Rattus norvegicus: one gene and its partner. The protein of the gene in region 1 binds, or shares a complex with, the protein of each later gene. Links are inferred from orthologs where the notes say so. Each region holds a gene or a part of one and is shown on either strand. Other genes may lie near its edges.

What was found. Proteins that work in one complex are often made in the same cells at the same time.
Region 2: Arpc1b (region 1) and Arpc5 share a complex: the UniProt entries of both Homo sapiens proteins name them as parts of the arp2/3 complex. The link is inferred for Rattus norvegicus from reciprocal best matches to the Homo sapiens genes ARPC1B and ARPC5.

The regions. Positions count from the first base shown.
Region 1 is NC_086030.1:14,606,497-14,611,450, forward strand, and holds the start of Arpc1b (actin-related protein 2/3 complex subunit 1B), read right to left. Parts: upstream 2,993-4,954; 5' UTR 2,925-2,992; exon of another isoform or gene 2,900-2,924; intron 1-2,899. UniProt on the Homo sapiens protein: Component of the Arp2/3 complex, a multiprotein complex that mediates actin polymerization upon stimulation by nucleation-promoting factor (NPF).
Region 2 is NC_086031.1:67,452,869-67,457,617, forward strand, and holds the start of Arpc5 (actin-related protein 2/3 complex subunit 5), read left to right. Parts: upstream 1-1,510; 5' UTR 1,511-1,572; coding exon 1,573-1,715; intron 1,716-3,840; coding exon 3,841-3,913; intron 3,914-4,749. UniProt on the Homo sapiens protein: Component of the Arp2/3 complex, a multiprotein complex that mediates actin polymerization upon stimulation by nucleation-promoting factor (NPF).

The DNA of each region.
Region 1 (4,954 bases):
ATTTGAGGCCAGCTTCAGATACAAAATAAACTGAGGGGTTCTTGTTTTGCTTTCTTTCACACTATTGGGGATGGTGCCCAAAGCCTTCTACATTCTAGGCAGATGCTCTACCACTGAGCCACACCCCAGCAGCCCCTCACTGGGGGATTCTAGGCAGGGGCTCTACCACTGAGCCACACTCCAACCCTCCAGGAATACTTCCTGACCATTGCTGAATGATTTCCACTCTCCTGCTGTCTGTATTGAGGGATGATGAACCGAGAAACACTATTTTTTGGGGGGGGGGGGTGTGGAGCATGGGACGACATGACAGGGTTGACAACTCTCCAACAGGGTGTGCTGCTGCTCATCAAAGACACAGAAGGCTGAGGCTGGAGGATCATGAGTTTGAAGCCAGCTTGGGCTTCATACGGAGAACCTGTGATAAATTAGACAGACAGACAGACAGACAGACAGACAGACAGACAGACAGATAGGGGGAGCTTCCAGCCTAGCCTGGTGACCTGAGTTTGATCCCCAGGACCCACATAGTGAAACAAGGGACCAAGCAGCTCTTGTAACTTGCCCTCTCACTCCCCCCACCCCCACACACAAATAAATAAATGTAGTTATAAATAAATACTCCTCTAACTCTCCATCCGGGCGGGGCATCCTTTGCCCTGGCCCCAACCTGGGCCCAAATGGGGACAGCCTGTTGGTCCTTCCTTCTCAGTTGGCTTTTCTTGGCTCTGTTTCCTTGAATCCACATTTTGGCTGGATCTGAGACTTAGACCAGGCAGGAGTTCCCTGCAGCAAGAACCTTGGCTCCACAGGCAATCCAGGAAGTCCCCGCCCAGCTCAGGCGTTCAGTTGAGCAGAGCCAGCAGCCCTTTCTTTTTCTTCTTTATGGTGCTAAGCCTTACTCAACTTCCTGTTGTGGGTAGCCTGGGTGGTGTGATCGGCCCTCCAAGCCCCTAGTTCCTCCTCCTCCTCCCCTTCCTCCTCTGGGCTGCCCTTGAGTGAGTGAGGGGAATGTCAAATCCAGCAACACAGATGAAAATAAATTCCAAAATACTGTAAAACAGCAGTTTTGATAGTCAAAATTAAACTTCTCCAAAACCCAGAACACTCGGTGCTGGCAGGGCTGTGGAGAGAGCCTCATTTGTCCTGTGCCTTGGAAGGGCAGTGTGCTAGCTTGTGTAAGGACAGATAGAACATAGGGTGGAAAGAGGGCTCTGTGCAAGCGAACCTGGGACTCCAGCAGCTCACAACCCACAACCACCAAATAAATACTCTAGCTCCAGGGGGTATCATTTCCACCACCCTGGGGCTCGTGTGCTCGTGTGCTCGTGTGCGTGTGTGTGTGTGTGTGTGTGTGTGTGTGTGTGTGTGTGTGTGTGTGCGCGCCACCCAACACGTAAGAATAAATCTTTAAAAGGAGAAAATAACACGGATGAACTTAGTAACTTGAAAAAGCAAACTTTTAAATCCCTCTCTCTGGGATTCTTTACTACAGAAAATCCTTTTTTAATGGATGAGTGACAGATTGGAAAAACCCACATACCACTGGGGAGGCCGAGGGTGTGGCTCATTGGTAGAGCATTTGCCTAATAAATTCGAGGCCCAGGGACCAAGACAGAACAAAATTAACTCTGGTTAACGTTATTTGTTATTTAAAAGTTCCCCCGGTGTGTGTTCACCTTTAATCTCAGCATTGGGGAGGCAGAGCTCTAAGAGTTCAAGGCCAGCCTGGGAGGTGTGGGAAAGAAGGAGGGGAGGAAAGACCCTGTCTAGAAAACAAAACAACCCAGAGCAAAAGAGAATCACTAGGAATTTTCATTCACACAGAACTTTGCCTTGCACTTGTGTGTGTGTGTGAGCGCCATGGACGTCCCGGAATTCAAACTCAGACCCTCATGCTCCCCGGTCAGTGCTTTTATGATGCCCTGCTCGGTCTCCCAGCCCCGCACATTCTCTTACAGTCGAAGCCAACCTGGTAAATCTATTTTTTTTTAATTGTCCACGTGAAGAAGTTGAACTTCCCTCCAAGTCGCCCCGCAGGGCTTCGGACACCAACCCACCCTACCGCCACCACCACACAAGGCCAGGTTCACCCAAGTGCAGAAATGAGGTCTGCAGGCAGGCAGGCACACTGCCAAGTGTATTGGCCACATCTGGCCGCTAAGCCTCCGGATCTGGAAGGTCCCCATTTTTCCGGCAAGGTAAGTTGAGCTCTACACAGGCGAGGTAGCTCGCCTGCGTCAGCAGCCACAACAGCAGGAGCAGCTACACCGCCCCAGGCTGGAGCTGCCTCCCGGGAACAAGCTCCACGGCCAGCACCTGGGCTGGCTCCCAGTTCAGGATTCCTGCCCGCTCGCCGGCCCCACCAAACCTGCCCTGTCCAGGATGGCCTGGCTGGGTGCCCCTCGCGCCGCCCGGGTCTACTCGCCCAGACCGGGTGAGACCCAGGAACCTGGACCCCTGCTGAGTGGGCATGGTCACTGGGGGGGAGGGTGAGGCGGGGCAGGGTGCTAGCTCATTTCCCGGTCTCAACAACCCGGAAGGCTGCGAACCAAGGGGGAAGTGACTGGGCGTGGGGCCCTGCGCCCAAAGTAACGGGGCAACTCGGGACGCGAGGATAGGAAAGCGGGGCCAGGAAAGCGAAGAGGGGGAGCGAGGGCTGGGGCTGTGCCGCCTCGATGGCGTGGAGTGCGCGGGGACTCTCTGCGACCCTTCCCACCGCACCCCGCATCCCCAGAACGCGGTCCCCCATTATCTCCTCGCCAGCCCCACCCTCGCCGGGAGCCCCACCAGGCCCCCATGCACACGGCTCTCCACTCCTCTCTCATCCTCAGCCCCCTCACCGTCGAACATCGCTCGAGTTCCCTGACTTCTAGGTAGCCTCAGATCCCACACACACCTCGTGACCACCCCACGTCCCTCACCTCGGGTCTCCTCGGCCGCGGACTCTGGACAGTCGACGCGCCGAACCGGCTCTGAGACCCGCGCAGCGCCGCAGCCACTTCCTCGTGGGCGGGGGGCGGGGCCTTCGGGCACAGCCCCGCAGGGACCGGGGGCGGGACCCAGGCGGCTGTGGCCAGATCCCAGGGCCCGCCCACCCCTCCGGGTACCAAGCCGCCTGGACCTCAGTTAAGTCCAGCTCAGCTCAAGATTCGTCCAGAGAGCGCAGGCTGTTGCCCCTAACTACTCTCTGAATGGGGAAACTGAGGCCGGAAGAGAAGGGGAGAGCTGTCTGAGCAGCTAGAGGGCGGAAGCCCGAGATCGGGCCACCAACAATTCAAAGGTGTTTGAGGCCACACGCAGGCACCCTACAACTTAATGTCTCCTGCAGGCCCTGCCCCTCACACACTAGGTGCACCCCAGCCGCTGTTCCCCTGACTCTCAGTGTCCCAAAGATAGCAGAACCGCTGGTGTCCAGGAAGAAGGACACCGGCCACTCCAGGTGACTTCTTGCTTCTGTATTCCACACACTTCCCTCCGAGTTACTGAACAGCTTTGCAGCCACCGGAGTCAGGTGATGCTCCAGGGTCAAAGGTCATCCAGGTTATGTGCTTCTGAAGTTTTTTTTTTCTCTGCTTCCCACCTTAGGAGAGCTCTTTCCTAAACTCCCAGCAGTATCCTGTATCACTGATTCGGGCTTCGTTTACACCGAGACCTGAAGGCTTTCTCTAGGGTGACTCGTATGTTTAGAGGTGCCTGTGACATGGTGACACCTATCATCCCAGCACTGGGGAGGTAGAGGAAGAAAGATGACCTTCAAGTTCTTCTTTGGCTGTGTTAAGCCAGTTGAAGGCCAGCCTGGGTTACACGAAAGCCTGCCTCAAAAAAACTAAGAAATGGGCCAGCAAGATAGCTCAGATGGCAAAGGTGTTTGCCACCCAGCCTCAGGACCTGAACTGAATTCCCAGCAACTCACACAGTAGAATGAGAGAATAGACTCCTTCAGGTAGGTTATCTTCTTGCTTCCACACACATACCAGCCATAATGAATTAGAGTGTGTACACACACACACACACACACACACACACACACACACACACACTGTAGCTGTCTTCAGATACACCAAAAGAGGGCATCGGATCTCATTACAGATGGTTGTGAGCCGCCATATGGTTGCTGGGATTTGAACTCAGGACCTCTGGAGGAGAAGTCCGTGCTCTTAACCGCTGAGCCAGTGATTTTTTTTATGGTGTTGGGATTCAAACTCAGGGCCCTGCACACACACAGCAAGCACTCTACCACTGAGCTACATCCCCAGCCTTCGCTTAAGTCTCCTAAAGTTTGGGTTGGGGATTTGGCTCAGTGGTAAAGCGCTTGCCTAGCAAGCGCAAGGCCCTGGGTTCGGTCCCCGGCTCTGGGGGAAAAAAAAAAAAAAGAAAAGAAAAGTCTCCTTAGGTTTTGGGGGCTGGACTTGAACTCAGGCAGGCCTTGAGCTTGTGATTCTCCTGCCTCAGTAAGATTGTCATGAGTCATCCTCCTGCCACCGACACAGAGGAGCCTTGATCCTGCGTGCCCACTTTGCTGCTCCTGTAGGTCTGTATCTGTAGCCTTGGCTATGCCGGATTTAGCTTGGAAAATCTGCACCAGCAGCCTTCTTCCTGTGAGACAAACGCATCCCTGACTTGCAATCTGTCCCTGCTTGCTCAGCTCTATAAAAGCCCAGCAATGGCCCCGGGAGGCCTTGAGTGATCTGACTCCATAAGCCTGTGGTGTCCTACAGTCCTCTGTCCTGGGCTAATGACCTAAAATGGTCCAGTGTCTTCAAAGGATGAACCAAGCAAAACCAAGCCCAGGACTCTGGGCAGTGAGCTACTTCAGAGATGAACTGTATGAGTAAAGGGCGGTAGCCCCTGAGAGGAGAGGAGTCCTCAGAGCAGAACACGAGACAAGTCAACCCCGCAGAGAAAAGCAGAGTGCTGGTCAGCTCATGTCAGCTTGAGCTCAAACTCCTTT
Region 2 (4,749 bases), on another chromosome or scaffold:
TCACCAGCAAGATAAAACATAACCTATCATTAGGTAATTTGAGAAGCTTGTGCTACATAACCAATAAACACATTGCACATATACGCAGAATTTTAGAGTCTTTTTTAAGTATTTCTGCGAATTGAACCCTGGGGGCATTCTTGGGAAAAGCACATTAGCCCAATTTTGGCAATAAGAAATCCGAGGTTCCAAATTTTAAGCAACGTGCCTCAATCTCGCAGATTATGAGAGCAAAAAAGTCGAAACTCAGCCACTGCTTTCTGATCCCAAGCCCAGTGCTCTTTTTCAGTACTGCACAACAAACGAGGTAACTCAACAGGATGACATCCAGCCTTCTGCTGTTTGTGAAACCAGGTAGATCTGCATCTAAGCAGAGCATAGCCAAGTGTCTGAATTAATTTTATTTTGTAAATACGTGTACGACAGTATAATGCACAGAGCACAGCTATTATTTGTTTAATCTTAGTGCCTCTGACGGGAATGTGGAATATCGCAAAAAAGCTGATCTGGCGTGCCTTAAACAATAAATAACAACCTTGAAAGTCCAGTTTCTATTAATCCTTGCACACGCTATTTTCCCTCAGCGCCAGCGCTGAAAAGCCTAACTCGCCCACCCTCTTCTGGCATTCTTGCTCCAAATAACTACTTATTTTAAGATGTGATGACTGATTCTAGAAAATGCTACAAGTTTGCCCCAATTTCGCTACCCGTCCCCAGCCCCGGCCCAAGCATCTTTTCCCTCCCTCCAGATGGAGAGAATACCGAGTTGAGATTCTGCAGGTCCGGCCGCGATGCTGTCCCCCAGCACTGACAGGTAAGAAGTGACCTTTCGACTCCGTCCTTGGGGACCTCCCACCGACAGCGTGCCAAGATCCCAAGCCCCGGAAGGGGCTCTCAGCTCTGGAACGCAGCCCCCGGCGGCGCTCGGTCCGAATGGAGGGCTCCGATCACTAGTTTCGTGCTGGGCATCACTCCGCCTCATTCTCCCGCTGACTGCAGGGGACTAGGTTCTGCAGCCAGTCCATCCCACCCCACGCTTAAGTCCGACCACCCACACTTCACACCGGACCCCAACAACAAGCGGCTGGCACCGACGGCGGCAGCACTCCAGGCCACGCGCCCCAAGTGCCCATAGCCTCCAGCCCAAGACCCCCCGCAAGGCTGGACCGCAGAAAAGCGTTTCTATGGGAACCTCCCGGGTGTCACGTGACGCTCCCCGGCGGCCAATCAAGTCTCCCGCTCCGCCTCAGCCCGCTTTCTGTCCGCCCGCCGCCCCCGCCTCTCTCCCTCCAACCCCGCCCCTTTCCTGCAGCGGGCCCGCGCGTGCGCCGTGCGTCCCGCGCGCTCCCTGGCCGACGCGCGCTCCCGGGGGACGCGGGGGCGGAGCGGGGGCTGAAGGATGGCTGGAAGCTGAGGAGGAAGCCGCGCCGGCTAGCGCGCAGGCCCAGAAGCGAGCAAGCAGCGGCTGCCGGCGACGCCCCAGAGCGGAAGAGGGAAGTGAGTCGGACAAGGCTAGGCTCGCTGAAGAAGAGGCACCGCGGAGGGGAGGCCAGAGTTGCATCGCGATCCGGGATGTCGAAGAACACGGTGTCGTCGGCCCGCTTCCGGAAGGTGGACGTGGACGAATATGATGAGAACAAGTTCGTGGACGAGGAGGACGGCGGCGATGGCCAGGCCGGGCCCGACGAGGGCGAGGTGGACTCATGCCTACGGCAATATCCTTACGCTCGCGGCGGCCTGGGGTTGCGGGGACACGGGGACACGCGGCCAGCTGTGCCCGGCTCTAGGTGGGGACGGAGGGCAGGAGGTCCCGGGGCTATCAGGCCGCCTGCACCCCGCGGCCGCGCCTGCGAACTTGCCGGCGCCCCGATTCCTCAGGTGCGCTGTCCTAAGCGGCCGCACCCTCTCGGGGGGGCACCGGATGACGCCCTAGTGGGCACCTGAGCTCCAAAAATTCCTGCCCGGTGGGGACACGGGTCCCGCCTGGAGTCTTGCTATTCTGTCGGGTGTGTGTGATTTGCGGAGCGGGCATAGTTTATTCTAGCCAGGAGAGATGGAACAAATTGAGGCCCTCCGTACATTCAGCCCATGAGCTTTTTCCATCAGCAGTGTTATTTATTAAAAGAAGAGGGTTTGGGCAAGGTTGCATATAATTTATGAACAGGCTGAAGGGAGTTTTCTAATCCAAAATTCCCAGGTAAGGCTTTGAGCCTTTCACCTGCTAAGAAAAGGCTACTAGGAAAAGGATAGGGAATGCATGTAGAGAATCCCTGGGAATAATTTAAGATGAACCCCAGTGAATAAAGCAGAGAATGAGTCACTTCTATAAATCAAAATCGTTTTTCTGAAATTGTTTCCAGGCTAGTTAAAATATGGCTGTCAGTTCCTGGTTCCTTGGTTTGCATATCTGAATATTCATAACCTTGAAAATCATTTGCATTGATCCCTTAGAAAAATAGAAATGTCACAAAACCCCAAATTGGAGCTTTAGAAAACTCGTATTCATTAAGTCTGTAGATACATATCTCCCTCATCGATTTTCTACTAGATTATGATGAAGAAGTAAGCAGAAATATTTAGTGGTAACCACAGCATCGAATATATACATATATGTGCCATATACGTTTAACTTTCATTACCACTACTTCCACATTGGTTGCTACTAATTTATTTATTAAAATACTTGGGATTTTTTTCTTTAAAAAGTGTTCTTTAAGAGACTATGCAGGCTTGACAGTAGTTTATCACTAACTGTAGATAATTTTTATTAGACCTTTTCCACAGAAGTGGTGAGTTTATTCTTCGTTTAAAGAAATCTTTATGGTGGATATGATATTTTATTAAACTAATGTATTTTAGGTAATTTCTGGTGATTATTATGACTGTATCCATTATTAATTCAGTCTACCTTTTCATCAATCCATCTTATCCAAATATAAAGGTACTGTCTCTGGTTATAACTAGGAGCGGCAGCCCCGGTTGGGTACTACAGATGGAGGAACAAGTGACTCTGGTTCTCCTTTTAGGGAAATGACTGTCTTTTCTGACAGTCTGATTGGCCTTCCGTTTCCCGTGCTTGCTAACTCATTAGTGCTTTCAGTACGAAGTAGGTATGGAGGGTCCAGCCCAGTTTGAATAACCTGTAGGAAATAAAGTAAGCTGCCACCTACAGGTCGTGTGGGTTATTACATCATCTGGAGCCCTGTTCATCAATATGCAGCTATCACGGCCTGTCCCACTCTGATTGCCAGAGTAATCTGCCAGCACCTCAGTTAATACACAGTGTAGTTTCAGTATCAAGTTTAGGCTTGTTTTCCAGTAAGAATCACGCAGACAGGATGGAATACTTTGTTGGTAAACTGCATCATTCGATGGCTTAATTCTTAGGCATATTCTAAGACTTCTTGAATACCTGTCTAGACAATTGTGTGTATTTCCCTGGAAAGTGTAATCTCTTTGGTTGACAGAACAGGTCAGAACAATCTTTGCTTTTAAAAAAAATCATATTCTTAAGCGCAAGGCCCTGGGTTCGGTCCCCAGCTCCGAAAAAAAGAACCAAAAAAAAAAAATCATATTCTTTTAATTTCATTATTTTAACCTTTGGTTGACATATTGGAAAGAAACCCATACAGTTAATGACCATAGTAGTTTTTGTTACTGTTCACAAAGTCAAGTCTAACCCACCAGTCCCATAAAGTGGGGCTGCCTTTTTTTTGGTTCTTTTTTTCGGAGCTGGGGACCGAACTCAGGGCCTTGCACTTCCTAGGCAAGCGCTCTACCACTGAGCTAAATCCCCAACCCCGGGGCTGCCCTTTCTGTTATGCCCTTAACCTTCACTACAGGAAACATGACCGCTGCCCTACAGGCCGCTCTGAAAAACCCCCCCATTAACACAAAGAGCCAGGCAGTGAAGGTGAGTGGTAAACTACAGCGTTAATCCCTTCTGCTTCGCTATTATCAAAGTCCTCTGACACCTACCTTCAATGACCATTTTAACTATTTACTGTGCTTGACACGAGGGTTTACAGTGTGACTTTTGTTTTGAGACTGGACCTGAGTCTATAACCTGGCCTGAAACTTGCAGAGATCTCCCGCCTCCACTGGGATTAAAGGCATGCACCACCACATCCAGCCCGAAAGGAAGCCCCTGCTAAGTAGAACGGTCATGGAAAATAGGGCTGACATGTGGTTAGGACGCGTGGAGCACAGTAAACAGAAAGGGTGGGGACACCAGCTCTGTGTGTGCTTAAGGAGCAATCTGCTCGAGTTGAATTCAAACAGGTTCAAAAAACACTCAGCTGCCTCTTAATTCCCTAAGTTTTTCTTAATTATGTAAATATGAAATATCAGAATCAAAGGCATGAGCGCATAAAAAGGTGGTTTCCGTGCTACTTCCTCGGGTCACAGCTACTGCCTTATATGGTATTGCTGCACACTGAGGGGTTTCTACCAGGGTTTGTGTTCTTTTAAAAAATTAATAGAATCTTACACTTGAGCTGCATAGTAACGTACATGATCTTTCCTTAGCAATAAGATTATTTCCGTGGCATTCTAACTGCTGTACACCAGTATATGACATCGTATATGCAACTGATCCCTTTTACTGTATATTAGGTTTTCTAGTTTTTCCTGCTAAATGAATAATTTTATATTTTAATTGTTTATGTCAATAAAATTCCCAGAAGATAAATGCTAGATCAAAACTGACTTTTTTTTTTAAAGGCTTTTGATCCATAAAGCATTGCCAAG